Linked DNA regions of Nothobranchius furzeri. The protein of the gene in region 2 purifies or fractionates together with the protein of the main gene of each other region. This does not show direct contact. Links are inferred from orthologs where the notes say so. Each region holds a gene or a part of one and is shown on either strand. Other genes may lie near its edges.

Region 1 (7,433 bases), on a different chromosome or scaffold from region 2:
CAGAGTCTTCAGAGTGACAACACGTGGATGGTCTGAGGTCAAAAACAGGATGAAACAACCTCTGCTCCAGCGCCATGGAGGTCAAAGCAACAGTTCCTGCAAGCACGTTTCCCTGTGACTTAAAACCTTCAGTCTGTCTCCCTCCAGTGGCGCTCTGACTGAATTACATGCAGTTGTCCATCTGAGAACATCTCCAAAATATAAAACATGCAGCTTTGTTCCATTTGTGAAACAAAGGGCAAATTATTAGCGTGAACACTGCATTTTTAGTGGTTTGGATTAATAAATCAGGTTTGGAGGTTTGTGCAATTCCATTTAGGCCTCTGGAGTCACCAGCTATTCAGAGATGAGCTCTGTCATTTAAAGTCATAGTTCAGTACTAATATTCAACATTTCCACGATCCTTGGATCGTCGGCGCAGAATGTTTTAAAGTAAGATGTAAAAACCTTAGGTGTGCGTTTCACGTGCACTCGTTTATTTCCGTTGTTTAGCTGCGGAACAAACTGTTAAAACGCTGAAATCTTAATCACATCATGACATCTAACTGCTGCAACGGCGTGACCAGTGTTAGTTGTTTACATAATGGTTTGATAAACATGTTTTCTGTTTGTTTGAGAATTGGCTACAGCAAACAGCAGCTAAACTTGGAGTTTGCTTGTATTTACTGTTTAAAGAGCAGACAGTAATTTACAGCAAATAAGTCCAGTTCGATGAGATAGTTTTTGTACTACCTGAACTCTGTGTTAATAGGACCCTAAACTTTGGATCATGTATACAAACAAAAAATATGTACTTTAAAAAAAATGTTAAACACTTTTTTTCTATCTGAATGTGCTGCAAAGTCAAACAACTTATTTTTTTTATCAATTTGTGGGATGTAATAATGAAATCTCTTATTTATAGTAAAATACTTTATAAACGCCCATCTATGCTGATGTTAGTGTGGACAGTTTACACCAAAATCCATTCATTAATTAGCCAAACTGTGTTTCTTCACTTGGAAAACGTTCAACACAAACCTCTGGAAGCGAGATTGGCAGTGACCTTTCGCTCGTGGTTTTCTAGACTCATCAGATTTTATTCTGAGTAAATGTCAGACTTGTGACTACGGTGTTTCCCCGATGTCTAACAGTTATTCCCCTAAAGCGATACGTGAAAGTCACCTAAAAGCTGAATGTTACACTTATGGACATGCTCCTTTGTTAAAATGCTGTTTAGATTCACACATGTGTCTTTTTTATTGTTTCTTAAAAATGTATGACATGGCTAAAAGTGAATATCAGCTTTTGGTGCAGTCTGACGGTACCCATATCTTTAAAAGTGCCTATAGTTTCCATTTAACCTCATTTGTATGCAAGTATTTGTTCTCATGTATTCTGTGTAGAAGTCACTGACATTGTAATAAAATTATAATCGTACTCTTTCTTCTAGTTTTCATCATGCCTTTATTTTTGAAGGACATAAATTAGAGGCATGTCTAAAAAGATTACAATCCTATCTAATTGATAAAGCAATATGCCAAAGATAAAATGACGGTGCATCAGCAGCCAGTACAAATTTTATTAATGAAATAAAACCCCTTTTCTAACTATCACGTAGATCTTTAAAACTACGATAATCAGGTGACATAACAAATTAATGGAAATTTCAACTCATTTGGATTAAATTGTAGCCAAATTCAAATATATCAGCAATATTAAAGCGTCGAGGAAATCATAGTTTATCATTTTGAATTGAAAAATGCATATTTTTATTTTAAGAAGTCCTAGAGTGATTTATTTTGAAATAAAATCTAGTGATGCCCAAACCAGAAACTAAAATAGCCAAGATAATAGTAAAAATCTAGGATATTTTTAGTAATTACTTTTACAAAAAATATTTTGACCTGCTCAACAACACAATAAACATGTAATATTAAAGCTTTAATTAAAAAAAGTTGCATTTATGAGACATTAACGCTAAAAGCTTTATTGTTATATGTGCAGTAAGCAGCTGAACGATGAAATTCCTACTTTGCTGCCCCCGCTGGATGCTGAGAGTATAACTGAGGTCTAAAATAAACAAGATAGATGCTAAATACAATAAAACAAACATTTTTATTGTGTTGAAATGACAGCCCACCTACTGTATGTTTGTGCAAGTGGAATAAAGTGTCCAGACAGTAAAGGGATCTTGTGTTTGCATTAGTAAAACAAAAACATTACATTTGATAAATAGATTTTCTTGGTCTTAAACGCATACTAGGCAACTTTATGATTTGTAATAATTTTCATGAGCCAGTATGTGTTAAAATGACCCTTTACAGGGTTCATGAAATGTCACACAGACCCCCACCACTCTCTGAGGCCAGTGTACTGCAGTTGCAACTTCAGAGTGCAGTTTGGTCATTTGGACTAGACTGCAGAGAGAGATTTGGACCTGGAAAAAAAAACTGAGCTGACATACCTGGCGCTGTAATCTGCTGCCAGCATTTTTCCTGTATGTATTAGATCATGAACACAGCTGACATGTTTGATTTAGTGATGCATTACTGCTGTAGACACTAATGAAGGCTGGGGAGACATTTCAGCTCTTAGATGGTGTTAAAACGACGAACGCACAGCGAGGAGATAAGTTTTGCTTTTGGTTCTACTAAACGGACACTAAGGGGTGATTAAAGCAAGTCAAAACTGCCTCTTCCTTTAAAAATAATTATCGCAATAAAATAATTTAGTAGAACTTTAATAACAGTTTTCAAAAAAATTAATTTATTGGAAATGTTGTTAGGCCTTTTATCAGTAAAAAAAGTTTTTTATTTTTATTTTTTTTGAAAATACAAAGGGCAAAAATCACCCGGAGACCTGCTGGACACACATTGGACACCCCTGTTTTACTGGTTAAAATATATTTTTATTTTTTCCCTATTCTGTTGACTTTTCGTTTGTGTTATGTCTGTTTTTGGCTTATTTGTCACAAAATAGAAAAATCTGAAACAAAAATAATGAATTTAGACTTGTTATTTTACTCTTTCACAAAACTGCACCACATCACAATCATCCGCAACCTCGCGTTCACCTTTGTGCGGGTCAAATCAGGACTGTTGTGCAGTTTTATCAGATGTTCTTCCCTCTAAACATGTCAGTGTTTAATGATTTTAGTGCAGGATTATCTTATTTGTTAGAGAGCCACGAGGACGCGGCGCGCGCCGCGGAGGGCTGAGCTCTCGCGCGGTGATTCGGTGAAGTATTTGTACGCAGATGCGCCTTTCAGGACCAGAAGTCACTCAGCGTTTGACTCGCTAAAATGTCCAAGCCGGATCAGGTTTTAATCTTAGACCCTCCCTGCGACCTCAAATTTAAAGGTAGGGAAACGAAAATGTCTATTTGGATGGTTAGGCTCGTTTGAGCAGAACTGTTAACCCACCTGGATGGATTTTTTTCACACTCCGGCTGTTAGCATTCACCGCCATTTTAAGTTAGCCAGGGAAAGGATAGGCCGTTGGAGCCTCGAGCTGTGGTGACGTGGATATCCGGCGATGAGAACGTCTAGGCGGCCTACCGCTCCCGGCCAGCTCGTAAAGAAGCGTTATGGTTCTGAGCTGCGGTTTTAAAATTGCATTAAAACAAGATGTTTTGTGGTTTGTTTGCGGGTTTATTCACTTTAGGCGTAACGTTTTTACTATGCTAGTGCCGCCAATGTTGGCAGCAGAAAAAGAGTTGTTTTCTGGCAGACTTAGCGTTAAATTCATTGCTAATTAAGTGGACATTGATGAACATTGTGGCAGCTCAATGACTTGAGGAAAAAGCTTTTTAATGACGGTCTGTTAGTAACTGAATGAGAAACTCAGCTGAGAAAGTAACTATGTACTTTTAGTAGAAATGTCCTTATTGAACAGTTTATATTAAACCTATAGACTCTTAGGAGACTTTTCATATGTTATGGACAAAAACATGGATGCAAGCACACGTTTATAGTCAGGCTAACACTGATTTTGTTTCTTGGCAGTGATAAAGAGTGATGTGTCAGCTCGCTGTAGGTTATCTAACCTGCTAAAGTTGGTGTGTAGCTTGGTTCATTACCTGCTCTTTAAACAATCTGTGACATAATTAACAATTTAAAGGAAACTTAAGACTTTCTTTTAAACCAACTGTTGCTCCAAACAAGTTCACAGGGTGACAGAAGACTGCTCTGCCTAATTCTGTGCAGTCCATAATCCCTGGTAAATTTTAAATACTTCTTCTCTATCCTTATCATTTACGGTGCTCATTTATCCTCCTGACCTAGAATTCTCCTGCTTTTTGTAATTGTCCCATTTTCTACGCTCTCAGGCATCATTGTCACCATCATACTTTTTCATAGTATAAATAGGCATGTAAAAATGAAGTTTAATACTTTAATTTAGTCATTTTCAGACAGTTAAAACTGCACCCCTGTTTGTTTACTAATGAATGCAGTCACAACCTGTTGTGATTTTTCAATTACTACTAACCAAAGAACATCTGAGTGAGTATTATGTGTTGATTTGACAGGATTTTATTCAAAGGTCACCATTTCTAAAAACAGAGCCAAAAGATAGCCTCTGAATGGGGTTCAGTTATAAAAATAATTCTGTCCCTGATGATATCACAGGGTGTGAAAAAGCAGGACTATGTCACATTCACTTAGCAAACTTGTCAATGATTGTGTTAATGTAAAATAAAGCTTCTCAACTCCTCGAGGAAGCTTTTCAGAACTAAATTGTCAGAAAAATATGCTGTAAATTGATTATATTTGAATAACTTCATTGACTTAATTACAACAAAGCGTTTTATCTGATGCTTTGTTTAATCCACATGACTGTGTCTTGTTATTATTGTCGCATAACATGTTTTTCAGAACATTGTTCCTAAAGGAAGGTGAAAGACAGAAAATCAACCAACATAAAGTGACATTTTGATGATTGCTTTTTCACAGCTCATGATATGATCGGATATGGAATAGACTGTGACTTCTGGTGAGGTTTGATGTTGTTAAAAACCTGTATTAAAGTTCTCGTTAACTGGGAAACTGTAATACTTGTTTTTCAAATGTGATCATTAACTCCTTGAGTTTCACATGTAGGCTGACTGTGAAAGATTTTCTCCAAGCCCCATTGCCTGTATTAGCTGCAGAAAAGAAACAAATGGAGAATCATTCAGGTCAGAAAAAGCCAGGCTCTTCTATGACTACGTTTACATGCAGCCAATATCCGGGTTATGATCGGGTTAAGGTCGGCATTCGGGTTTCTGAGTTGATCAGAATAACCCGTTTACAAGCACAAATAGAAAGAGTTACCCCTAACTTGCATAACCCGATGTAAATGCGGAGGTTGGGGTAGCGTCAGGACGTGTGGACTACGTCCAGACGCAATATGCGTCATTTCCGGTTCTTCTCGTTCCGGTATCCGTGAAAACAACAACATTTTTCCCAGTTCGGAAGAGATAGCGACCGCGTTTGTTTGCGCTTTAGTTTCCTCGTCACTCCGAAAGTGTGGTGCTGTGCCGCGACTCGCCATTTTGCTCCCAACTTGTTTACTTCCGGTGTTCTGGCGCATACAAGACGTCTTGCTACTCAAAAGACCAAGATTCCTTGCGAACAGAGCATGCGCAGAACACACGCTTTGATGTGGATATCCCGATATGCGTTTACACGACCAAACATTCTGGTTAGAAAAGGGTTACCCCAGGTGTAGTAACCGGGTTTTTAAAAACCCGGTTATGAGCATATCCGGGTTTCTGGCGGTGTTTACACGGACCTGCGGAACCGGGTTATTGTGAATATTCGGGTTTTAAAAGGGTTACTGGATGCATGTAAACGCACTGTATGTCGCAGGGAAAATTTGCATTCATGGTAGGGCTGGATGATATAGAAAAACAGTATATCGATAACAATAATTTTATATTGATCGATATAGATAATTATTGAAAAATATTTTAAAAAATTGTAGAAAATATATTTTACTGGCCCTGGCCAATTTATTTTTGGTATTTTTAATTATTTCTCCACCTCTCGCTGAGACATCTTACTCTATTTGGCTTGAGAAGGGGAGGGCCTGGTGACGTAGCGTGCCTGAGTCTGTGGTTTTGATTGGTTAGGAGTAAGTAGTGAGTCTAGTATGCTGCTACCTGATAGATTATAATGAAAAAGGGAATTATTGTCCAGCTCTAATTCATGGCCCCACCTACTTTGATTTGCAGCGGCGGGCGAAGGCTATATTCATTTTGGCCGCCAGGAGAGAACAGCAAATGTCTCGGCTAGTAGAAACGAACCATTAGCTATTACACAATAAGGTGGAACACATTCAGGCTTGTGATTTGCAGAGATAACACATCTACGTTGCTTTTATTTACTCAAGAAAGAAGCGCGAGATTTACGTGTCATGAGTAAGACTCATATTCCTGTCATTTTGCACCCTCCCCACTCCTCCAACTAACCACTACATTTAAAACAGGAGTTTTTCTCCACAGAATAATCTCACAAGGTATTCATTTATACCAGAGAACACTGTAGATTTGTTGAAAAAGCAAGTGAATGAGAGCTTTAACAGTGCCATGAAAGACTTAAATGTTTTTTGAGCAAAGCCTTGCATAGATATCAGATGGTGTATCTATTGGAGGGGTGGTGTGTGTGTGTGTGTGTGGGGGGGGGGGGGTGCAAGTGAAAGGCTTGTTAGAAAGCTTTCCACCTGTCTGAAAACACTTTTGCTGAAGCAAATACACAATGCTGAATAGAAGATTTTAATTTAGGGATGCACAGAAATGAAAACTCTTGGCTGAAACAGAAAATGAGGAAAACATGGCCGAAAACCGAAATACCCCCTTCACCCCCACCCCGTCTGGAGATTCCCAACAGAGAAAAGATGAGCGGAGCACACAGAGGGCAAATATTATATATTAGAGGAGAAACTTACAATACTGACAGGTCTGTTCATTGTTGACGAAGCTCTTTGTCTGATAATGGCTGACTCAGATTCTGAAGAGTAACATTCACCCTCTGATGAAGATATTCACTCGTCCAGTGAGGAAGAAGGTGACACTGCAGTAGCAACAGAGTCCGTGTGCTTCATCAGAGTAAACACGCTTTACACACATCATCCAAAGCTTATTTCTCCATGTTCAGGACATGGTGGGTGTAGAAAGGATGGTAAAAACTAGAGCTGCACGATATTAGGAAAAAAGTGCTTAATAATGCGATATCGATATTACGATAAATGAACAAATACTAAAGTATGCAGTGTTGATGTCGTCTGGCATGTGACGTCTGCTCTGGGTTGAAAGCAAACAAAAACTAATGCATGAATTCCATTACAACATAACATTTTTATTGTAAAAATATGCAGCTGCACCTGCTACTGTATTAGCAGCAAAACAACAAACTGCATGCATGCAGTTTCTCAGTGACTTTAAAACATCACCTCCACCATAAAACTTTTTCT
Region 2 (7,490 bases):
TCTTTCACCAAATAGAATATTTACTAAGACATCACAATATAACTATAGACACATTACTTGTCTTTGTGTGTGCGCGTGTGTGAGTATGCGTGCGCACGTGTGTGTGTGTGTGTGTCTTTGTGTGTGCGCGTGTGTGAGTATGTGTGCGCACGTGTGTGTGTGTGTGTGTGTGTGTGTGTCTGCTCTGTCTTCTCGATCCCCAGTGAGTCGTGGAGGATGCCTGCTTACACTGAGCCAGGATTCTCTGGAGGTTTCTTCCTGTTAAAAGGGAGTTTTCCTCCCCACTGTCGCTTTATGCTTGCTTAGTATGAGGATTGCTGTATAGTCACTGACACTAGTCAGTGACTTGATGCAATTTGCTTGGTTCCTTATATAGGAAACATTATTTCTGATTGGCTTAATGAACTGACCTGGATTGGTATGTTTATTATGTGAAGTGCCTTGAGACGACTCTTGTCGTGATTTGGCGCTACATAAATAAACTTGAATTGAATTGAATTTGTAAAAGCTAACAAAAACCTTTTCTTCACTTAAATATTTTTGAGTCAAACGTTTTTGAGAAACTGATTTTCTTTCCACATTTTATTTAGACACTTTTTTTACAATCTTCTTCGTAACTAAATATTCTTGTTACTAATTTCTTCTCTTGCATGTTTGATTAAAACAAGTCTCACTTAGAAATGAGACCCCATAATTTAACAAGATTATGAAAATTTTAAAATAAACACGACAACGTGCTCTCAGATAAACAAACCAAAAAACATTGGTGAATCTGTGAATTGTTGGCCAGCAGATGAGAATTTTCCTTCTTAGAGAAATGTGGTTAAAACTTTGAATTTAAATCCTAAAGGTTGATTTTTATTTCAGGAATGACTGTGGATCATATCTATTTAGCAGATGTGTTAAACTAACTGAAGAGTTTTCATCCTGTTAATGTTGCTGGCCACAAAGGATTTTAAAAGAAAACAGTCAAATCAAACTGATTTTTCTAAAATAAAACTTTTATGCATCATTATTATTTACTAAAATAACATAAGGAACACCTGACACAAACCGCGGATGCCAAAAACCAAAAAGGCTGAATTTATCTTGCTGCTCTAAGATGTTTCAGCAAGAAGTGCAATTTAGGAATGCCACGACCCGAATGAGCGAGAATCTACACCAACATGAAAGCTGAAGCCCCAGTTTATGTTTATTTACAAGGTCAGACTCAATAAAAACAGAAAACAACAACTAAAGATCAATCTGCAGCTCCACTCCTCTTCATCGTGCATCAAAAACAACCACTGGAATCAATGAGTCAAGGAAAATAAGCACACACACACACACACACACACACACACACACACACACACACACACACACGAGAGAGAGAGAGAAAGGATACATCTCTTTGTTCTCTTCTTGTACATGATTCTGTAGCCACATTCTCTGCATCTGATCGGGTCGCGGGCCTTTATTTCGTTTTCAGTGTGACACTCTGCATAAAAAAAAAATATATACATTTATAAAGACATATAAATGTATTTCAGAACTGCTGCAAAATTAATTTAGAACAGTATAATTGTGCAAACACATTAACAATCGACGTTTACATGCTGTCAGGCTAAAATGGAATATTTACTAATAAGAAATATGTTTTAATTAGTCATAACTAGTATTTTTCTGATGACTTTTCTATATTTCGTGAATAAAACCATCAAGAATTGCAATGATAGTTGCTTCATCAGCAAACCTCCACAAATGTAGATCATTGGTTGCTGCTTGGGCGGCTGTAGATCTTTCTGTGTGTCCATTTTGTTCTATAAAAGACAGAAATGTAAACATTTCATCAACAACCCTTCTTCTTGTTAGCATGCTAACAGAAACAGCATGGTGCTCCGGACATTAGCTCAAAACTGCATAAACGTCTCTGAATTTGGTGAAACTGTATACGCACAGAGCACAAATTAAACCGTGTACATGCATTTAGTTAATTACTGATGAAAGGAAGCGAAATGACTCACCGTTTAACTGCGTAATTTGGGAAATGTTTACTGTTTTCACACACTAAACCATCCGCTTTTACGATTGGGTTTCTGCGCTTGCGTCAAATTTCTTCTTCTTGGTTTTACAGGACGATCGACACGCTTTACGTGCCTTTACTGTCACCCAGCGGTTTTGAGGCATTGTGAATTATTCGAAACACATCTGAACTGATTTTAAAAATTGGAAGCAAAGAATTTTTTTTTGTATATTTTATACTAAAAATGTTCCTGTCTTGACACAACATCCTCTTGAAAGCAAATCCACAACACGGGTGTTTCATTTTTCAATTACCGTTACGCTACAAATTCTGGCTTAATTTAGTATTCTTTTGGGACCTTATGAATAAATTAGACTTTATTTAGAGTTTTTGTTTTTGACTCGAGCCAAACATTGTCAATCTGATTCGTAATTGTGTTTTTGTAAAATAAAACAATGTAAAGTGCGCTTCCGTCCCGACAGGGGGCGCTGTCGCAGCGTCGAACACAAGAATGTCCATCATTTGAAGAGCTCCCCCCAGCTGGCCCTCCTCCACTAGTTTGTGACAACAACGAATCTGCCGACAATGTCCACGTCTTGACTACCACTGACAAACCCGCGCTCTCTTTTTCATACTTTGTTTGACTTTTGTTTCCGAGTTGGTGTACCATGGAGCCGTCCGCGCCTAAAAGGTTTGTGAACGTTTGCTTTGAGACCTCTGCTTTACCACCAGGCTAATGTAGGCGGTAGCTCAGGATGCTAATGCTAAGCGAATTCAGTTCTCTCAAACTTTCCACAGAGATAAACAAGCAGAAAGTAAAAACACAAAACCGGTTAAAACCTCCATTGAGATTATGGTTTGTTTAATTGTTTAGACGTTTTTGGATTTCGCGTCGTTGGGGGTGATTTCATTGTCGCTTCAAAAATATATAATAAATTAAATGTGTATTAAGGAAAATCATAATTTATTCGAAGTAACTGTTTACTTTATTTTGGACCGATCTATTTACTGGTTAGCTTAAGCTAGCACCTTTTAAGTTAATTAAATTTAAAATGTATTTAAATTTTATAAGACAGTAGGATTAAATTGTTTATTATCTGTTTAATTTGTGTACATTGATACTAGGTTGCATTAAATCCAGATTATGATCAAAGACCAAAAATATCTCAAAATTTTTTTAAACAGTATTTTTATCTAGATTTCATCAATTATTTTCATCATTCCTCTTAAGTTATAAACACACACTCAAGTTCTCCTACAGAAAGTAATGTTTACTCTATAAAATAAACTTTGATGTGCATATATAAAGAAATATTGTGTCTTTCTTCCATTATTAAAGAGACATTGTGTTAAATACACAATATTTTTGCTGAATTTTTCAGCAAGCTGAAAAAGCTGAGCGAGGACAGCTTGACCAAGCAGCCGGAGGAGGTGTTTGATGTTTTAGAGAAACTTGGTGAAGGGTGAGATGTTTTAACTTGATCTAATTACTGTGTAAATCATAGTTTATTTAGTAGTTTCACTTAAAAGATGCATTTCTTTGTGTAATCAGCTCCTATGGCAGTGTATTTAAAGCCATTCATAAAGAGTCAGGGCAGGTGGTGGCCATCAAGCAGGTTCCTGTGGAGTCTGACCTGCAGGAAATCATCAAGGAGATCTCCATCATGCAGCAGTGTGACAGGTGACACCCCAACTTTCTTTAATTCTAATGAATGAGACTGTCCAAAGTCGCCTTTGCACCAGTTTTTTAGAACCACGTTTGTTTGCCTTCCTCTTAGCCCGTATGTTGTGAAATACTACGGCAGCTACTTTAAAAACACAGATCTGTGGATAGTCATGGAGTACTGCGGAGCCGGCTCTGTTTCTGACATCATCAGGCTGAGAAACAAAACGGTGCGCGTTTCTAAAAAGTTACAGCTTGGCTCATAAAATAGGTTAAATTGCTGATTTACTTTTGTATTTTCCTTTTTTTCCCACGTCAGCTGACAGAAGAGGAGATTGCCACCATCCTCAAGTCAACACTGAAGGGTCTCGAGTATCTTCACTTCATGAGAAAGATCCACCGCGACATCAAGGCGGGAAACATCCTTCTCAACACCGAGGGGCACGCCAAACTGGCTGACTTTGGCGTTGCAGGACAGCTTACGGTAACACTGTCGCCAAATGTTTGCAGCAATGCACTGATGCCAGCTTCAGTCGATCTCTGGCTGAATTTTGATGGTATGTGTTTAATGTCTGAAGGACACGATGGCAAAGAGGAACACTGTGATTGGGACGCCATTTTGGATGGCCCCAGAAGTGATCCAGGAGATCGGCTACAACTGTGTTGCAGACATCTGGTCTCTGGGTATCACATCCATAGAAATGGCTGAGGGTAAACCTCCCTACGCTGACATCCATCCTATGAGGGTGCGTATTCTTTAGTTTTTAATGAATTTAGGGTTTTAAAAGAAAACATTTGACACTTTCCCACTTTTGATTTCCCACAGGCCATCTTTATGATCCCCACCAACCCCCCTCCTACGTTTCGGAAGCCGGAGCTTTGGTCAGACGATTTCACAGACTTTGTAAAGAAGTGTTTGGTTAAAAACCCAGAGCAGAGAGCAACTGCAACTCAGTTACTACAGGTTGGAGCAAGAAGGTCTTCATCTGTACAATCCTGCTTCCAATCTGAGCGATTTAATTTCCTTTTCCTGTTGTGGAAACGCAGCATCCGTTCATCAGCCAGGCCAAGCCGGTCACGATCCTGAGAGATCTGATCACTGAAGCCATGGAGATGAAGGCGAAGAGGCAGCAGGAGCAGCAGAGAGAGCTAGAGGAGGAAGAGGACAACTCTGTACGTTTTGTTCACGTGCATTAACCAATAAAGTTCCAGTAAAACGTTTATACTGCAGGGGTTTGTCTCCTATAGGAGGACGAGACGGAGGTGGACTCTCACACCATGGTGAAGTCTGGAACCGAGGGCGCGGGGACCATGCGAGCCACCAGCACCATGAGCGACGGGGCACAGACCATGATTGAGCACAGCACCATGCTGGAGTCGGACCTGGGCACCATGGTCATTAATAGTGATGATGAAAACGAGGAGGAAGCCCAGAGATCCATGAGACGTGAGCACATATTTGAGAGAATGAGGGGGAATTTAAACATCTCTTTCACTTTGCTGCGTGAACTTGGCTTTTAACTTTGGTTTAAATGGATGGTGTCGGAAAAACTGGCTTCTTTCCAAAGAGGAAGAAGTGTTAAAACCATGCCCTCGTGACTGCTGATGCTACAAACGTGCTCTTTCACGTCAACCTTTTTGTTTTCCCACTTCACTATAAAGCAGCTCTTTGTCTGCTCTGACCTTCCGTTTTCCCTGAGGCAAACCAAAGCTTTGGGGAAAAAATTCAACACAAGCTCAATCTGCAACAGTCTCAAATTTTTGACATGCAGGATGGAAGCTGGCAGCAGCAAAATTTAGATGCATGTCTGCAAATTTGTTCAGGGCTCCAACTTGGAGTCAGGTTGGAAATGTGGGCAACTCGCAGCCTAAAGGTCTGTGCCGTCTCCAGAATGCTATGCTTAATCACGTGTGGTCGCAAGCCCTATTGGCATGTTCCAACCAACTTCAAGTTCAGCATTATATAGACACTGGCCATGATCATGTTAACTACAGAACAAAGTTAGCCACAGCTATGCTACTTGAGCTAACACTAGCACCACCCTAAACTACTGCCAACACTATCCCGAGCTACAGCCAATGCTATTCCAAGATACTGCTAACACTATCCTGAGCAACTGTCAACGTTGGCCTGAGCTACTGCCAATGCTAGCCCAAGCTGCTGCCAATGCTAGCCTGAGCTACTGCCAATGCTAGCCCAAGCTGCTGCCAATGCTAGCCTGAGCTACTGCCAATGCTAGCCCAAGCTGCTGCCAATGCTAGCCTGAACTACTGCCAATGCTAGCCCAAGCAGCTGCCAATGCTAGCCTGAGCTACTGCCAATGCTAGCCCGAGCTGCTGCCAATGCTAGCCTGAGCTGCTGCCGACGCTAGCCCGAGCTACTGCCGACGCTAGCCCGAGCTACTGCCGACGCTAGCCCGAGCTACTGCCGACGCTAGCCCGAGCTACTGCCGACGCTAGCCCGAGCTACTGCCGACGCTAGCCCGAGCTGCTGCCGACGCTAGCCCGAGCTGCTGCCGACGCTAGCCCGAGCTGCTGCCAAAGCTAGCCCGAGCTGCTGCCAACGCTAGCCCGAGCTGCTGCCAACGCTAGCCCCAGCTGCTGCCAACGCTAGCCCCAGCTACTGCCAGTGCTAGCCTGAGCTACTGCCAGTGCTAGCCCGAGCTACTGCCAGTGCTAGCCCGAGCTACTGCCAACGCTAGCCCGAGTTGCCACCAAAGCTAGCCCAAGCTGCTGCCAACGCTAGCCCGAGCTGCTGCCAACGCTAACCTAAACTACAGCTGATGAAAAATTCATGTCCTGGTTGAGTGGGTGGGGCAAACCAGTCTTTCCATTGTTGGGCTTTATTATGGGGTGTTATTGGTCACTTATTGCTCCTGTGCCATTTTGAGCTCCAACTGTTTCCAATAGTAAAAACAAAGTTTTTGTAGAACCCCATGATAAAAAGACTAAATATTTGCTCATAAGTTTTCCCAAAAGGCCATTTTATCTTCATAATGTCATCAGATAATATCACAGCTAAAATAGTTGTTTCTGCTGTGGCGTTCCTTTGTATTTCTGTGTAAAACGACCACGCTGAGAGAAAAGTAGAAGCAAAATGTGTTTTTTCTCCTCGGATTAAAAAAAAATCTGCAATTCTGTAAGATGTCATTAAAACGCCTTCCTCCCTCCTCAGGGCACGCCACGTCCCAGCAGCCCATACGCCCGTCCTTCATGGATTATTTTGACAAGAAGGACTCCAACAAGGCGGCCCAGCAGCAGGAGAACTACAACCACAACCAGCCGAAGGAGCAACTGGGCTACCACATCCAGTCCAAAAATGTCTTCCCAGACAACTGGAAGGTTCCTCAGGACGGAGACTTTGATTTTGTGAGTTTCTGAGTGTTAATCTAGATCAGGTCTGGGGTCATTTATGGGCCCTGGGGGGGATTTTGTGTCGAGTTGTGTTCCTTCAGTCGGCTGCTGATGCTGTAAACCTATTTTGAGGAGTGCAAATAAAAAGTAAATCACCATAAATTATTTTTTTGCATTATCTCAGAAAATAAATAAAAATTTTGTGGCCCGTGAAGACTGATAACTTTTTTTTAAGTTTATTTTCATTTATTCACAAATAAAAACAAAACACAAAACAGGTTTGCAAAAATAAAAAAAGAAAAAGGAACAGAAAGAAGCAAAACTTATATTATCTGTTCCTGTTAACCAAAATAAATACAAATGACAATAAAGTTACTATAGTTTAAAAAATGTCTGACCTGGTTTACTCTTAACTTTGGCAAAAAATGGAGAGAAAACAAAAATGCACAAAAAAAATGTTTTTCTTCT
Region 3 (7,702 bases), on a different chromosome or scaffold from region 2:
ATGTGACAAACACACAATCCAGGAGGTAGTCTTTATGTCCACCTGTTGCCTGCCAGCCTGAACATCCTGTTTTATTTTAGGAAAGGAATGGCATTTCACTGTATTTGCCCCTTATTCGTTCTGCTTTAAAAGGACTCAACTATTGTCGGCAGTCAACAGCAATGCTCATTCTTTAAAACCAACATGTCACCTTTTGTTAATCAAAAACTGTTGTGTGTATTTTTTTTCCTTTTTCCTTAAAAGTGATGACTATCTTTCTTTATTCTATAATTTGTGTCAGTTTATTCAAACAGAATGTTGAACAACCAGAGGAGGTCAAATAAAGTTGGTTTTCTTTGTTTTGTTGTATATTCATTTGACAGTCTTGCTTTTACATATTGTTTTGGTGATTTTCCTCTTTTTTACATGTATTTTGTCTTAGGATCTTTGCATTGCAACTCTTTGTTGTTTGTCATCTTTACGGATAATTCATGCTCCTTTGTGAAGCACTTTGGTCAGCTGTATTGCTGTTTTTAAAAGTGCTATATCAATACATTTGGTTTTGGTTTTAGGGTTTTTGTTTCTTTCAGTCTTTGTTTCTGTGTTGATGCGTTTTTGTTCTCAGACACATAACAGCTATTCTACACCTCCATCTTTTTCAGACGTCTGCAGAATAATGACTCACCAGTCTCTTTAAACAAAAAGGCTTTGATTAATTCAACGAGAAGGAAAACATCAATGACTTTTCTCATAAATATGAAAAGTAAAAACACAGAAGAAAAGGCTACCAGAAAATCTGTGTCCAAATCCTCTGACCCAAATCTAGTTTTGATTTTGAACACTTATCCCCTGCCTCCCCCTGCTGACCGAATCACAACCACACTTACGATCAAGGTTTATCTATGCTTGGTAAATTAAATTAGATTATCATAAAACATTTTAGATTTACAGTATTTTTCAAATTTCTCTGCGTCTGAGCATCAGGTCGACCTCTTCACTGTCTGGTTTTAAATCTCTTTTGAAAACCTATTTTCATGATTTGGCTTTTAAATCAGCATGAGAGTCTTTTTAGTGTTTTATCAGTGTTAGTTATTAAGCTTTAGTTTTTATGCATTTTTATGTTGTGTATATTTTTTATCTGTGAAGCACTTTGGTCGGTTTTATACCGTTGTAAGGTGCTATACAAATAATGTTCCCTTGCCGTTATTCAGGCACAACTTTTTTAAGCCGTTTATTTTGCCCCAAAGACTTTCAAAATACATATTCCTGTTGCTTCAAAGTGGTTTGTGATCCAACTTATACATTATTATTGTTATTATTATTATTATTATTGTTGTTGTTGTTGTTGCTGTTAATTATTATTATTTAATTATTAACAGTGTAGCCAATCGCTATGTTTCACATGACATTGCATCTACATCACCAAATGCAGATGGGGGTCAGGAAGTAGCCACAGGTGTTGTGCCATAAATCGACTCGCTGCCAAAAAATGATTAGCCACTAAAGAAAGGAAGGGGAAAAAATCAAATCGCTGGAGAATTGTTTATTTACATTTATACAACGTTTACATTCAATACAGGGCGCCATTTTACATTGTTTATTTATTTTTTAGTATCAAGGCTGTAACATAAAGAAAGCCAGTTCTTACCACAAACCATCTTTCAATCGCAAATATTGCAAAAAGGATTAATATATCCTCATTGTGAACGTTTAAGACAAATAGCAACACTTAAAACAACTTCCGAACTGGACAAAACTAAGCTAATCATTTTTTGGCAGTGAGTCGATTTATGGCACAACACCGGCACTGCAGAACACTATTTACTTTGGTGACACAGTGTTAAAAAGCCAAATTTCTAAGCGGTCTATGGTTATTACAGTCACTCTAATCGGGACAAAGACAAACATTTTTTTCAAGTCCCAAATGTAGGGCGCCACAAAGGACTCGATTAAAAAAAAGACATACTGAAAGAAGACAGCAGAAGTGGATCAGTCATCAATGGCTTAAAACAGGAGCTGAAACGGAAAATGCTGGAGTTTACAGCAATCCCTTTCTAACAGGTAAGAGATTGTGGAGTGTTTTATTAAACGGTTGCTTAGAAACAGCCACAAAACGACAGCTTAACCGTTTTATAATGTTTTTGTGTGTCCTCACTGCAAATAGCAGAGTGCTAATGCTCTAGGCAGTTAATTGAGTGTTGTAACGTGGCATTTATACTTTATTGAAATCAAACAAATGTACCAGAAATTTGGATTTAAAAAGGTATAAAAAGTTAGTTACAAGTAGATCCTAGCACATACTGATTGTTAGCATTAGCGATAGCATTATTATCATGAAATAATGAAAAAATCAGCTGTGAAAATCCAAAAACCTTTTACACCTGAGACTGTAATACTTTTTACACATGCTATTCAAATAAAATTTGGCCAATATCTTTAAGAATGTGAATAGGTGTAGCTGTTGTTGTGTACCTGTGAAAGATAGACATTTTCTCTGTGACTTCATAAAATGGCACAGATAATGTATAAAGCACAAAATAACTTGCTTTGCTGCAGTACTCAGAAGCTGTTCAAAGTCAGACAGAGTCAATATGACTTAAGGGGAACAGAATTCTTTAACAAAAATAAGATAAGGACAACTGTAAAGCAGAGATGTGTTTCTGTTAGATGAGTCAACCTGTGGAATAGCTATGACAGTGATTTAAAAAGATGTAGTTCATTGTCCTTGTTTAAAAATATGTTTAAAAATAGAATATTAGAAAAATATATAAACCAAGAATGAAAAGAGCAAAAATAATACTGAACCTCTTGATTGTTTTGCTTTGATGTAGTTACTTATCTAAGGTGTACATTTTTTGTTTTGTTTGTTTGTTTTGCTTGTTTGTTTGTTTGTTTTGTTTTGTTTTATTCTCAGCATGCAGCTCCAGGAGCTTCATGCAAAAAGATCTTTCTTAAAAGGGTTGGCGTAATAAGCAAATGCTTCAGCCAATACCTTTTGATTAGCCTTGTTTTGTGTTTCTTGCTTTGTGGTAATCTTTATTCTGTATTCATTGGAATATTTGAATGCTAATCAATAAAAATCAAATCAATCAAATCAAATCAACCAAGTTCCCGGTGAAAAAAACACAAAGACATTTGCACCACATAAATATCCATTTTGTGGTATGTAGTGCTCTATGTTGGCTATGTGAGCCCTTTTTCTACCTCTAATTTTGCAGCTGAATGCACACCAGCATGCTTCTGTCATGTGTGGCTCATAATGTCTTTCTTTCTTCACACACACACACACACACACACACACACACACACACACACACACACACACACACACACACACACACACACACACACACACACACACACACACACACACACACACATTCTGAAGGCAAGTCATATCTGGTGTCAGTCAGCCACTCCCTCTAAACGCTGTCTCAACGTGTTTTGCAATAATTAACCAGCTGCTGCGGTGTTGCTGCAAAGGCTCACCTCCCGCCACACGAACTATACACCAGACCTTTGAACACAGTCACTCAGATTCATAAACAAGACTCGAAACATGTAATGGACCTGCAACAATTTAATAGGAGATCTAAAGGCTGAACTGCACAGGTAGGAAGAAGCGTTCCTCTGACAATCAAATTAGAAGGCTTTAGCTGGAGCTACTACCACTACGTACACCTATTGTTTTCTATAAAAAAGAATCAAACATTTTCATCTTAAACTACTGACAAATGTTTGCCAAATTCATTGTCAATGTGTCATTTATTTTGTAATTTTAAAAGTTTATCTCACAATTGACATTTATTATGGCTGGAGTTCCATCGTGATTTTGTTCCCTCGGACAAAGTGTCTAGGTTTGAAACCTGTAGACCCAAATAAAATCAGATCAGAATGTGCAATCAAGAAATCGTAAATGTGCCATGAGGACGGGGTATAACAGAAAGACAAATCTATGAAGAAGGGAAAAGGAAGGTCATAAAGTCAGAGACTGGGTGCGTACTGGTTGAGTGTGTCATTATCCACGTAAAGACTTGAACATCATCTTTAAAAGGCAACAACAAAGCACCATAGGACCAGTTAGTGCAACATCAACAACTGCTTTCTGAAATGTTTGCTTTAAAATAACTTCTAAAATCAGTTTAAATTAGCAGAAAGTTGAAGTATTTGGTTGGTTAATTATTTATTGTAATAATTAATGCATTAATACTTCTAATTACTAATTAACTGACACTTTTGACAGCGAATCTAATTCTGTTTAATTCCTTTTGAACGGAGCCAGAAAATGTATTTATTGTTTGAGCAGAACAGTTGAGTTTGTGGGTTTTAACCAACAACGATAATGCCAAAAATTCTCTGCCAAACAATGTTTTCTGCTTGTTTGGTGTCATTTATTTGATTGTATGGCTGAAGTTCCAGGAGACAAGATTTACTTGTAATCTAACAGCATGTGGAAGAGCCGAGTGCAGCCACAACAGGCCTGGTACCATTTCCTCATGCTGGTCACCAGTTTAAATTTGCATTTGCTACCAAAACACAAAAATGTTCTTGCATGAATGGTCCAGTGGCAAACCAAAATGTGGGGGTTTTGTTTGCTTTTCATAAAAGAGCTTGAGATCTTTTCAGTCAGTGTTCTAAAAATGAACACACCTCAGTGAGTATGTTGATTGGCTACATTTAGAGCTCAAGGTGTTTCCTTTATCAAAAGGCTTTTCTGACGTCATGACTCAGGTAGCCATTTTTCTCATGCATGATATGGAAATCTGAAGCGCACACGCACACACACACACACACACACACACACACACACACACACACACACACACACACACGCACAAAGGCTAAGTACATTAACTCGATGTTAGGTGTGCATCAATCCAAGTCTCAAGACTCAAGACTCAAGACAACTTTATTAGTCCCCGAGGGGCAATTCGAGACAGCATTGTGAAGCAGCCGGCACTAAAATCTCTAAATTCTAAAAACACATCCAAATTACACATTTGTAAAACCCATAAAAACCTATATACACAATCATGTCATAAACTCACATGTGAATGACCAACAATGATTAAAACTTTGGCTCACACACACACACACACACACACACACACACACACACACACACACACACACACACACACACGTAACTACATGCACACACACATACAAGTAATGCACACTCCCCCTATCTGCACTGAGAATTAAGAAGAAGCACAGCTCTGGGAACAAAGGAACTTCTCCTCTGTGTTTTACAGCATGGGCATCGAAGTCGGCGTTTGGAGGGCAGCCACTCGAAAACAGTATGAAGAGGGTGTGATGGGTCTTTAATGATTTTCTGTATGACCGTCTGTATGACCGGGACAGGTCTGTTCAGGAATCCACTTACAGGAAGTTGTTCCACAGAACAACCAGTTTGAACAGCTGCAGATATGGAATGCAGCTCTCAATAATTCATCTGAGCTTCTCTTTCAAATCTGACTGTTAGTTCCTAAAAAAGCCCACAGTGCTCATTGTGTTTGGCCTGTCGTATTTTGTTTGGCAGATTACCAAAGGAGATGAATAACAAATAAAAAATAGATTAATGTCAACTAAAATAATGTAAATATACAGATGACTTGGTGCCTCAGCAGTTATTCATATTGTGAGTTTGTATCTTGAGGAATGTCTTTAAATCTTAATATGTAGGGCAAAATAAACATTTTAATAAACTTAAAAATAACTAAAAAGTAAAACAATACAGTGGTAAATGTTTTGCAGATTTTAAAAGGGAAAAAAAATACTTAATTTGAAATTACATTAAAAGCAGTATTTTTGTGTTGGAGTAAGACCTTATCAACAGATGCCCATTAGGGTCAAAAAGCTCTGAGGAGTGCAAACTTTAGCAAAATAACAAGAACATCAGACTCCCCTTCACCACTGGCAACATGTGAGCAGGTGAATGTGTAAAACAATAACATTGAGTGATGCAAGTTTTGTAACCATTTGTATAGTAATATGGCGTCGCCCAGACCAGATTTTTATGGTTATATGTTACAAAGCCGCCAATTTTTTTCTGCAACTGGGCACCAATTCATTAATTTTCAACAACATTTTGATGGATATTTGCAGAAAGTAATGGTAGAAACTACATATTGTCTCTTTAAACTAGCAACAGTCACGGTGATGTGGTGTAAAACTATACCCTTAAATGTATGGACTGCTCCCTAGTGCCAGGAAACTACACACTGCCGCTGGACACTTAATTAACAATAATGGCAACTTTAACAAAAGGATCCTTTGTTTATTAATGCTTAATAATGCACTGTGTAACATTAATAAAATGATTCTTATTGTAAAATGTCAAATAAACCTTTAATTTCCATGTACTGACTTGCAAATTTGGTTCCTTAAAGGGTGACTTAAACATGCTTATGTCAATATAGCACACTGTATATAATTTTATTGATGCAATATTGATCTAAAATGTTGCTTTCTTTCAAAAAACATGTTGCTTTTTCTACATTATCTAAGAATTGCTGCACTGAAATCTGTATTTTGCACTTTTCTGCACTTCTTTATTCATCCTATTAAACAAAAGAAACGTCAGTCAAAGGGGAGTGGAGAAGGTTTTATAATTATGACTGTTGAATATTTGAGATGTTTTTAACCAGCAAACAGGCTGAGGCAAAACAAGATGAAAGAAACTGTCAGTCATGTGGACTGCTTGTTTTCAGACGGCTGCCACATTCACAACAATTCAGAAATACCAATGATCAGTCGAACACAGAATAGAGAGCAGCGATTTCCAGTCACAGCTTTCAGCGACTCTGACCATAATGTAAACAAATCTACGCTGTCATCACTGGTTACTGGGTGGAGTACTGTTATTAAATCTCTTGGAGACGAGCAGGGGAAAAAAAAGAAAGTGAAAGAGAGAAGCAACGGCTGCAGAGAGAAGAATAAATATAACAAAAACTTCAGAAGCACAGAAGGAATGAAGGTATTTAAAGCTTAGAAGAAAGAAATAGACAAAGACGCTGAATTCACAGGAAAATCTTCACGTTTGAGCTGGTAAGACTCTTATTTCCGTGGTTATGTTTGGAAGTAGTAACACCGTGTTGGTGATAAATCCATTTTCAGTGGCCGTCTTTGTTTGCGGTTATGCAGGAGAGTCTTTATTTAGCAGCGTGAGCAGCAGCATGGCCTTTGGACTCATCTGCTCAAGGCTGCAGTGTTTGTGTTCTGGCTTCATTGTTTCATGACTAGCCATGCCTGCTTTCCTTTTGTAGCTATGTGTACTAAAAAGAGGTGTTTACTCCTTAATTGTTGTCTTTTCCTCTGCAGTAGCAGAACAGAGATGAACGCAGCATTCATCCAAACAGGAAATGGGAGGATCCTCACCAGGTTTTGATTTTTTCTTTTGCCAATGCTTTTAGCTCTTATCTGAATTAAAAGTTTATGTTTCATCTTGCTTCTTTGTTGTTGCCTTGTTTAACATTTCTGTATTTTAGAGCAACGTTTCTGTCTCTGGTGAACACCTACAACTGCTTCCTAAAGGACCAGACTCAGCTGCATCTCACCTATTCTCAGGTATGCCTGAGATTTCTTTCAAATCTGTTTTTCATTTATTATCCAGTACTGTAGAAGGGCACAAGGTGGGCCATATTTGTTGTGTTGATGTCAGTGTGGGTGTGCTTGTTTGTTAAATATCCCATGAACAACTGTTTAACTCCAACTGGTTACC
Region 4 (7,538 bases), on a different chromosome or scaffold from region 2:
TCTCTGAGTCACGCGTTTGACTTAACTTTACTTTGTCTTTGATGAGCCTTGTGTGAGTGTAGATGATGATGGCCTTGTCATATAAAAACATTACTGATCCATATATAAATTCATTTCACAGATTAATCAAAACATTTCATTTAGTGTTCATATAACATTTGTTCCTCAACCAAATTATTCTTTAATGATTAATTAACCTATAAGTTTTAAATGTTCACATTATATTTAAGAGTTCATTCTTTGATTAAGCAACTAATCTGAGCTGAGAGAGTTCACTTTTTTCATAGGCATGAAGAGTCCTGTAGAGCGATAAGGGAAGCTTGGGCCTTGAGGAGGGAACTTGACTGTTGACGATACGTTATCATGTGTTCAGAGCTGCAGAGAGGCTCTGAGCCAGCTGATGGGATGCAGGATCCGGCAGATTAAAGGAAGCACAGGCAGACTCGTGTCTCCATGTCGACCAGATATTGAAGGGTCAAACTGCACTTAAAAACTGACCATTACCGGACATTACAACGGTAACACCAGAAGCTTTTAGGGTTTCTCTGCAAGAAGCGGATCTGAAATCACAGCTCGGATATGTGAAATTTGAAACATTGAAAAATAACCTTGAATATTCTAAAAAGCCTACGGGTACTTGTGTTTTTATCAAATGACTGTTATTAATAAATTTCAGTGTTTTTCTGCTTAACTCAGAACATCAGAGAAGCACTGAGGCTCAGAGCCAAAGGAGATCTGGATCCGACCTGTAAACAGTTGAGCTCTTTTAAATTTTTTAAATTCTTAGATGCTCAGCTTTCGACAGCCTAATTCAAAAACACACATGCAAGCAAAAAACCCTCACAGTCGTGTCCATCAAGCACCCCCCACCCCAAAAACAACACCAACCCCCTCCTCCACACTCATCCGTCTCCTCCTTGTCTGTATCTGAGACCTCCGGTGGCACTTTGTTGTATTTTTAATGCCTTCTTCTTTTCCGGTGGTGTATAATAAATGTTTGATACAGCCTCCCGTGGCCTTGGGAGAAAGCGACCAAACCCTGCCCACCAGGCCACATGAGCCCTGAAATATTCACATTCAGCAGCCCAGAGAGTCAATAACGCACCAGTGGTGACCCCCATCCATCCTCTGTCACATCAATAAGGACCGCCACGGGGAAATCCTGGCTCAGATTCAAGATTTGTGTGCACGTTTTTATGTGTTTATACCTGCAACCATTTAACTGCTGATGAGTTCATGAAAAGGTGTGTTAGGATATTTTGCTGTGACTCCCACCTTCAGCCTGACTGCTGCTGTGAAGAAGCTCAACCCCTAACAAGAGAACAACCAGCAGGACCTACAAACGAAACAACGAGCCTCGGGCAAAAATTCATCCTCCCATCTCCACAAATCCCAAACCCATGCCACAACCCAGAGGACCCACAGGCCCAGAAACCTCAGGACTCTCCCGATGTGCCTTCATCAGTCAGAGCCAGAGCAGGTGGTCTGCGTGTTGCGCTTTATCGCTACACACATCTGTTTTGTTGAATCTCAACAGATGTGAAACCTGTGTTGTTTCACTGAAGCACTAGAATCTCCTCCTGGGAAGAAGAACTTTAATGTTTACATCAAAGGAAATCACACTTCCACTCAGCTAATGCACGGCAGTGGAAGCTTGTGATCTCAGTCCTTTTCATTTCCTGTTGGTTTGTAGTTGACCATCTTTAACCTCCTCTCTGATCAGCTCTTTTGTTTTGTGAAGACTTCCTGTGACCAAAGAGTCCCTCAGAGCTTCCTGTTGGAATATTTAACAACAGATTATTGGAACAGGGACGTGAAATCAGGTGTAAATGAAGGATTCTATAAAAAGAGACGTCAGTTTTCTGTTTTATTGTCATTGCTACATTTTACTCTGATTGATTGATTGATTGATTGATTGATTGATTGATTGATTGATTGATTGATTGATTGACATGGGGATCAACTTGGTGTTGGTGGGTAGGGGGTACACGCTATAACCCGTAAGGCTGATGTTGTTTTAGTGTCCAGGAGAGAGCAGAGCACGTGTGAGCTGGTAGAAGCTAACCATTAGCATTAGCAGCTCAACAACATGGCTTAACTCCTTCAGGCTTGTGTCATATTTGGAAATAAACGTTGCAGATTTAACAGAGTTGGTGGAAGCCTGGCGTTGCTGTTAGCCAACCAGAGGTGAGATGTTTGAATATCAAATGAATGACTAAGATTCCAAATCCTGCCTCTTTCTGATCCCTCCTACTCCGGCTAAAGGAGCACAGTACATTTCTCCACAGAAAACAACTAACAAGTCATTCATTTATACTAGAGACTACTGCTGTTGCCTTGCAGCAAGAAGGTCCTGTGTTCAAATCCCAATTTGGGATCTTTCTGTATGGAGTTTGCATGTTCTCCCTGTGCAAGCGTGGGTTCTCTTCATGTACTCCAGCTTTCTCCCACAGTCCAAAAACATGACTGTCAGGTTGATTGGTTCCTCTAAATAGCCCTTTTGTGTGTGTGTGTGTGTGTGTGTGTGTGTGTGTGTGTGTGTGTGTGTGTGCTTGTTTGTTTGTTTGTTCTGTGTGTTTCTGTGTTGCCCTGCCATGGACTGGCCTGTCCAGGGTGTGCCCCTCCTGCTTGCCCAAAGACTGTTGGAGATAGGCACCAGCCCCCTGTGACCTTGTCTGGACAAGCAATGGATGGACCACTGCGAATGTGTTGGAAAAAAAAAACATGTTAATGACAGCTTTAGCTACTGTGGCACTACATTGTAGCTTATTATCTGCAAATGTATTGCCATTTTATGTGGTATGATATTGAGTAACTATGGTGGCCATCTTGAATTTGATTAGATCCAGAAGGTGCATTGAGTCGTTTCTTCCTGTGTGTTTCATAAAGTGGTTCATGAGATTTCTAGTCCGACAGAAAAACCAAACACACATGCAAAAACATTATGGCTCACCTTTTGTATTTCGTTGGTAATGTGATTATAAAACTCAAAGGACACATAAAACGGTGTCATAAACTATATTTCTCACAATGCAGTTTCTGAACGTGTTTCAGTCCTCCCTTGCTCAGTTAGGTTTTTAAAACACGTTAACTTTTGTTCAAAACTTGTTCCAATTTAACCCAAAATAATAATTTCAAGTTTTGTTTCTTTGTTAAAATGTTGATGTGAGGGAAAAGTGATGGGAGTGCAGCCTAAAAGCATCCCTCCTCTGACTTCCGGAGGCGTCGCCGATGACATCAGCTGTTGAATGAGTGTGTGCGCCCTGGTCTCTCCCTGGTAACCGAGCATGACACAATGTCTGCCGGTATAAAACGCTAGGGCTACTCCTATCACCGCTCCACTCGCATGTCTGGACTCTTGGAGGGGAGGAGGCAGAGTTCTGCTGCTGTTGGGAACCTAAAACGCGTCTGAGCGAGGAAGAGGAGACAGACAGACTCGGCATGGCCACGCTAGTGGAATCTGCAGACATGGAGACTTTAGGCATCCACAGCCACACCGGGACGTCTCCCACCTCCTCCAGCCCCCCTCAGCACTTCAACGACAGCAAATTCTACCTGCTGGTGGTGATCGGGGAGATCGTAACAGAGGATCACCTCAAGTGTGCCATTGCAGACATAGAGAAAGGTGGTGGAGCTTTATTTATGTATTTATTTGGGGTGGGTGGTGGTGGTGTGTGTGGGGGGTGGGGGTGGGGGGGGGGAGTAGTTAGGTCTTAAAGCCGTAAAGTGAATCTTTATGGCTTTTAAAATTAGGGTCACACCTGTTCGCTTTTACGCACGGCGCAATTACGCACAGATTATCGATGGGTTATTCTCAGTTTACTTACTGCATCTTCTTGTTTTCTCTTGTCATCCTCACGTGTGAAGGGGTGATTCTGCACCTGTTTGGTGCCATTGTTGGCGCATTTCTGCGCGTTTTCTGTGATGATCCATTACAGACAGATTCAGGCGCGTCAGGCTTTTGTTATAAAGTCTGGAGGAGACAGCGAGGGGGATGTGCGTGTGCGCTTTGTGTTCTCATTTCAGATTAAAATTTCTCATCCGCTTTGACGGATCTGTTTTAAAATCAATTCCCTGATCATCCACACCATCCTCCCGCATCCAGCTCTCTCATCCCTCACCGGCTTGTGGGCGTGGCCCTGTCCGCACTGCGGTCCCTACGGAAACCCGCGAGGACCTATCTTCAGGCTGAGCAGGGCGTTCAGAGCTGCTGCTGCTGCCTGCAGGCCAGAAAGCACTTTGTTAGAAAGCAGCGAGAAGATTGTGGCGCAGTAGCTGTGTGGATGTAAAGGAGAGTCAATTTAGCACAAAAACTGAATGAAGGTTACGGGTTTATAAACTAATATTTAACATATATAATTTTCTTGAATGTTAGCTTATAAAACAAATTCAAACTAATCTTTTGATCTTTGAATCTTTGGACTTTTTGCTTTATATTTATGAACGAAATGATTGCAATCTGTTTTGGGTGCAGTGTACTGGACAAAAGTACGCACGTTCCTCCTTAGAAAAAAATATATTTTTTGTGTCTCATTGGGCCACCACTAAGCATTTAAACTGCATAAATGTGGAGAGGGTGTATGATGACTCAGGAAAATGATGACCGTCAGGCTCAAGCAGCGATATAGATATTTCCTAGTATAGATTTTCCTTTTGCTTACATCAAATCAGTAACAAGTCTAGACATGTTTATTCTAAGGTCTTCCAATGAACCAGAACCAGAGGACAAATTGTGTGTGTGTGTGTGTGTGTGTGTGTGTGTGTGTGTGTGTGTGTGTGTGTGTGTGTGTGTGTGTGTGTGTGTGTGTGTGTGTGTTGCAGGGATCCGCTCATGGGACACCAACCTCATTGACTGCAACCTGGACCAGGAGCTGAAGTTGTTTGTCTCCAGACACTCGGCGCGTTTCTCTGCAGACGTCAAAGGTAATGGGAGTACAAGATGGCCGCTCTGATCATTTCAATTGGGGACAGATTTACAGGGGAGGGAAACAATTGAAACTCTGACTTTGAGATCAACTGATGTGGGGTTTTATCACCGATACCAGCTGACAGGTGCTGCTTTTTTTGCGTCACCTTTCATGACTGACATTTTGACATTTTTCTGTCTTTTTCACCTGCTAAAATGTCACTAATAACTGCTGATGCACAACATTTCTGCCCGATCAGTTTTTGGTCTCTGAATAACCAGCTGTTGAATCTTAATTATGTGCTCTGCATTAAAATCCAACTTTTAACCAAAGTTCATTAAACAAATCAATGAACTGACCACGCATTAAATAAACAAAACAAGTGAATAAAAAGTCAGTTAACAATATTGTTTTGAGCATTTATTAAGCAGACTTTTAGTTTTTTTCAGGAACATAAATGTATGTACTGCTTCAGCACCAGACTGCCCACGGCTGTGCCTGACTTAAAAACCGCTACATACATATATAAGATAAGATATATAAAATCAACGGTAAATATCAGCCGTCTGAGGGCGTGGGAGCATTTTTTTTCTTTTTTTGCGCTGTTAGGGTACATTTGTTGTCAGATGGTAAATGGCCTGTATTTGATATAGCGCCTTCAAGAGTCCTGGAACCCCCAAGGTGTTTTACAACACAATCAGTCATTCACTCATTCACATGCTGGTGGTGATGAGCTACGCTGTAGCCACAGCTGCCCTGAGGCATACTGACACTGTCTGTTGCAGTCGTGTGACTTGTGTTCTAGATTTGCCTCGAGGATTTAAGTTCCTAATTTCCTTTAAAGGCATTTTATGAAACTTTTTCATGTTTTAAATTGTTTTCTTAAGCCAGTATGTGCTAAAATGACCCTACAGGGTTAATGAAATATCATTCAGAGCCCCACTGCCCTCTGTGGCCAGAATATTGCACTTGCAACTTCAGAGAGCCCGTCCAGTGCCTGTTGGACAAAGTATAAGTGGTGCTGGCATGCCAAAGCTGCAGTCTGCTTCCAGCACGTTTCCTGCATGTTTTAGATCATTAACACAGCTGATTTGTTTGATTTAGTGATGAATCACTCCTGTAGACACTAAGGAAGACTGAGGAGTTGTTTCAGCTTTTAGATTGAGGTATTAAAAAGACGAACGCACAGCGAGGAGATAAGGTTTGCGTTTGGTTATTCTAAACAGACACTAGGGGGTGCTAAAAGCAAGCCACAACTGCTTAGTATCCCTTTAACATTTGTTTGGTCAGTAGTTTGACTCATTTCTTCTACTTATTTGAGGTTTTGGTTGTACACCTCAGAAAGGTGGGCAGTCTATTTGCCTGTCAGGGTGTGTGTTCCTTACCAAAACATCTTATGAACCACTGGACAAATATAAATCTTTCAAAAAGTCTTTGTTGGATTTTCATCTGCCTCTCAGCAACGTTCTAACATTGTATAGCTATAAATATATTGTGAAGATTAAAAGAATTAAACAAAAAATAAATTAAGCAAGCTCAGCCAATAACACGGCTTGGTTCGAAACCAATTATTGGATCATCCGGTTGTTGTCTAACTGGACAACCGCCTTTCCCTCCTCCACTCATTACGCTCTCGCGTAGTTAGCAACAGAACGCCACTGGTGTGAGCGGTTCTCCGCTCAATTATATCAGAGAAGGAGCAACAGCCGGCTGCTACCACTTCAAATTTAGGACAAACGATCAGATTTGTAAATAGTTTGGACTTAAGAAACGGCAAATGGTGTTTAGCACTTTCTCGTTTGTTCTGGCAAGGTGGGTTTCCCGTTCCAGCAGACATGACCTAGGGATGATACCCAACAGGAGGGGTGTGTTCTGTGACCGTGTTAGCATTTAAAGGCTAGCTTGTTGGCAGATTTGCAGCTTTTAGATGGCTAATCAGCACTATTGGTTTGTCATTTTGGTCCTTTTGAAACTTTAGATGTTTTGTTTAAAACCTGCGGGTGAAAGGTGTTGAGCAGCAGGCAAAACCTTTATTCTAATTTTTTGAATGATTTTTGTTAATGTTACAAAAATTAGTCCATAGATTAAATGCATTGTTTGTGTAAGTTTATTTTTTATTTTTTTTTCACTTGGATAGTTTATCTGACTACTGCTCTGGGAGTGAGAGTTGGTTGCACAAGCTTTCATCATTTTAATGGACTTAAAAAGTGCCAGTCTCTCTTTTGGCTGGCTAAGCCATTGAGATCAGCACATTAAAGGTGCGGCGTTTCCGCTCACTCTAAATCGACTCAACTACTTGTAAGAAACTCTGTAGAGTTCTGTTAAATGAGCCACATCATGCTACTTTAAATCTTTGAGAGCAAATATTGGCACAGCATGTATTAAAATATTACCTTTGGCACTACTGAGATGTTATTTATCTTAAATATGATTTATTATGGTCAGCCTGAATTTTAACCCTGAAATGAATTAGTTTGTTTCAGTGAAGCTCCGCCCACACCCGCTCCGACAAAATGGACCTACATCAGCGTTTAGGCAAGTCTGCTGTTCTGTTGGCCTCGGTAGTCCAGGGGTTAAAGCAATTGTGCTCTCGGTTCTGGTTCCACCGCTCTGGAAGGAGTTGTTTTTGAG

Evidence for each region. The genes of interacting proteins can lie anywhere in the genome.
Region 1: the proteins of stk3 (region 2) and vapal purify together in Homo sapiens (affinity purification with mass spectrometry; 4 studies listed by BioGRID and IntAct, counting the BioPlex papers as one, with this or other methods). This does not show direct contact. The link is inferred for Nothobranchius furzeri from reciprocal best matches to the Homo sapiens genes STK3 and VAPA.
Region 3: the proteins of stk3 (region 2) and rassf6 purify together in Homo sapiens (affinity purification with mass spectrometry; 4 studies listed by BioGRID and IntAct, counting the BioPlex papers as one, with this or other methods). This does not show direct contact. The link is inferred for Nothobranchius furzeri from reciprocal best matches to the Homo sapiens genes STK3 and RASSF6.
Region 4: the proteins of stk3 (region 2) and map1b purify together in Homo sapiens (affinity purification with mass spectrometry; 4 studies listed by BioGRID and IntAct, with this or other methods). This does not show direct contact. The link is inferred for Nothobranchius furzeri from reciprocal best matches to the Homo sapiens genes STK3 and MAP1B.

Annotation. Positions count from the first base shown.
Region 1 is NC_091751.1:42,858,319-42,865,751, forward strand, and holds the start of vapal (VAMP (vesicle-associated membrane protein)-associated protein A, like), read left to right. Parts: upstream 1-3,187; 5' UTR 3,188-3,283; coding exon 3,284-3,341; intron 3,342-7,433. UniProt on the Homo sapiens protein: Endoplasmic reticulum (ER)-anchored protein that mediates the formation of contact sites between the ER and endosomes via interaction with FFAT motif-containing proteins such as STARD3 or WDR44.
Region 2 is NC_091759.1:1,436,887-1,444,376, reverse strand, and holds the start of stk3 (serine/threonine-protein kinase 3), read left to right. Parts: upstream 1-2,522; 5' UTR 2,523-2,673; coding exon 2,674-2,696; intron 2,697-3,387; coding exon 3,388-3,468; intron 3,469-3,557; coding exon 3,558-3,686; intron 3,687-3,783; coding exon 3,784-3,898; intron 3,899-3,987; coding exon 3,988-4,152; intron 4,153-4,246; coding exon 4,247-4,414; intron 4,415-4,494; coding exon 4,495-4,632; intron 4,633-4,715; coding exon 4,716-4,841; intron 4,842-4,916; coding exon 4,917-5,115; intron 5,116-6,843; coding exon 6,844-7,037; intron 7,038-7,490. Other genes in the region: polr2k (DNA-directed RNA polymerases I, II, and III subunit RPABC4), read right to left, coding at 1,264-1,286, 1,388-1,480, 1,736-1,796. UniProt on the Homo sapiens protein: Stress-activated, pro-apoptotic kinase which, following caspase-cleavage, enters the nucleus and induces chromatin condensation followed by internucleosomal DNA fragmentation.
Region 3 is NC_091746.1:44,754,346-44,762,047, reverse strand, and holds the start of rassf6 (ras association domain-containing protein 6), read left to right. Parts: upstream 1-3,456; 5' UTR 3,457-3,591; intron 3,592-5,234; 5' UTR 5,235-5,235; coding exon 5,236-5,279; intron 5,280-6,898; exon of another isoform or gene 6,899-7,029; intron 7,030-7,302; coding exon 7,303-7,362; intron 7,363-7,469; coding exon 7,470-7,548; intron 7,549-7,702.
Region 4 is NC_091746.1:61,700,190-61,707,727, forward strand, and holds the start of map1b (microtubule-associated protein 1B), read left to right. Parts: upstream 1-3,292; 5' UTR 3,293-3,441; coding exon 3,442-3,625; intron 3,626-4,821; coding exon 4,822-4,923; intron 4,924-7,538. UniProt on the Homo sapiens protein: Facilitates tyrosination of alpha-tubulin in neuronal microtubules. Phosphorylated MAP1B is required for proper microtubule dynamics and plays a role in the cytoskeletal changes that accompany neuronal differentiation and neurite extension.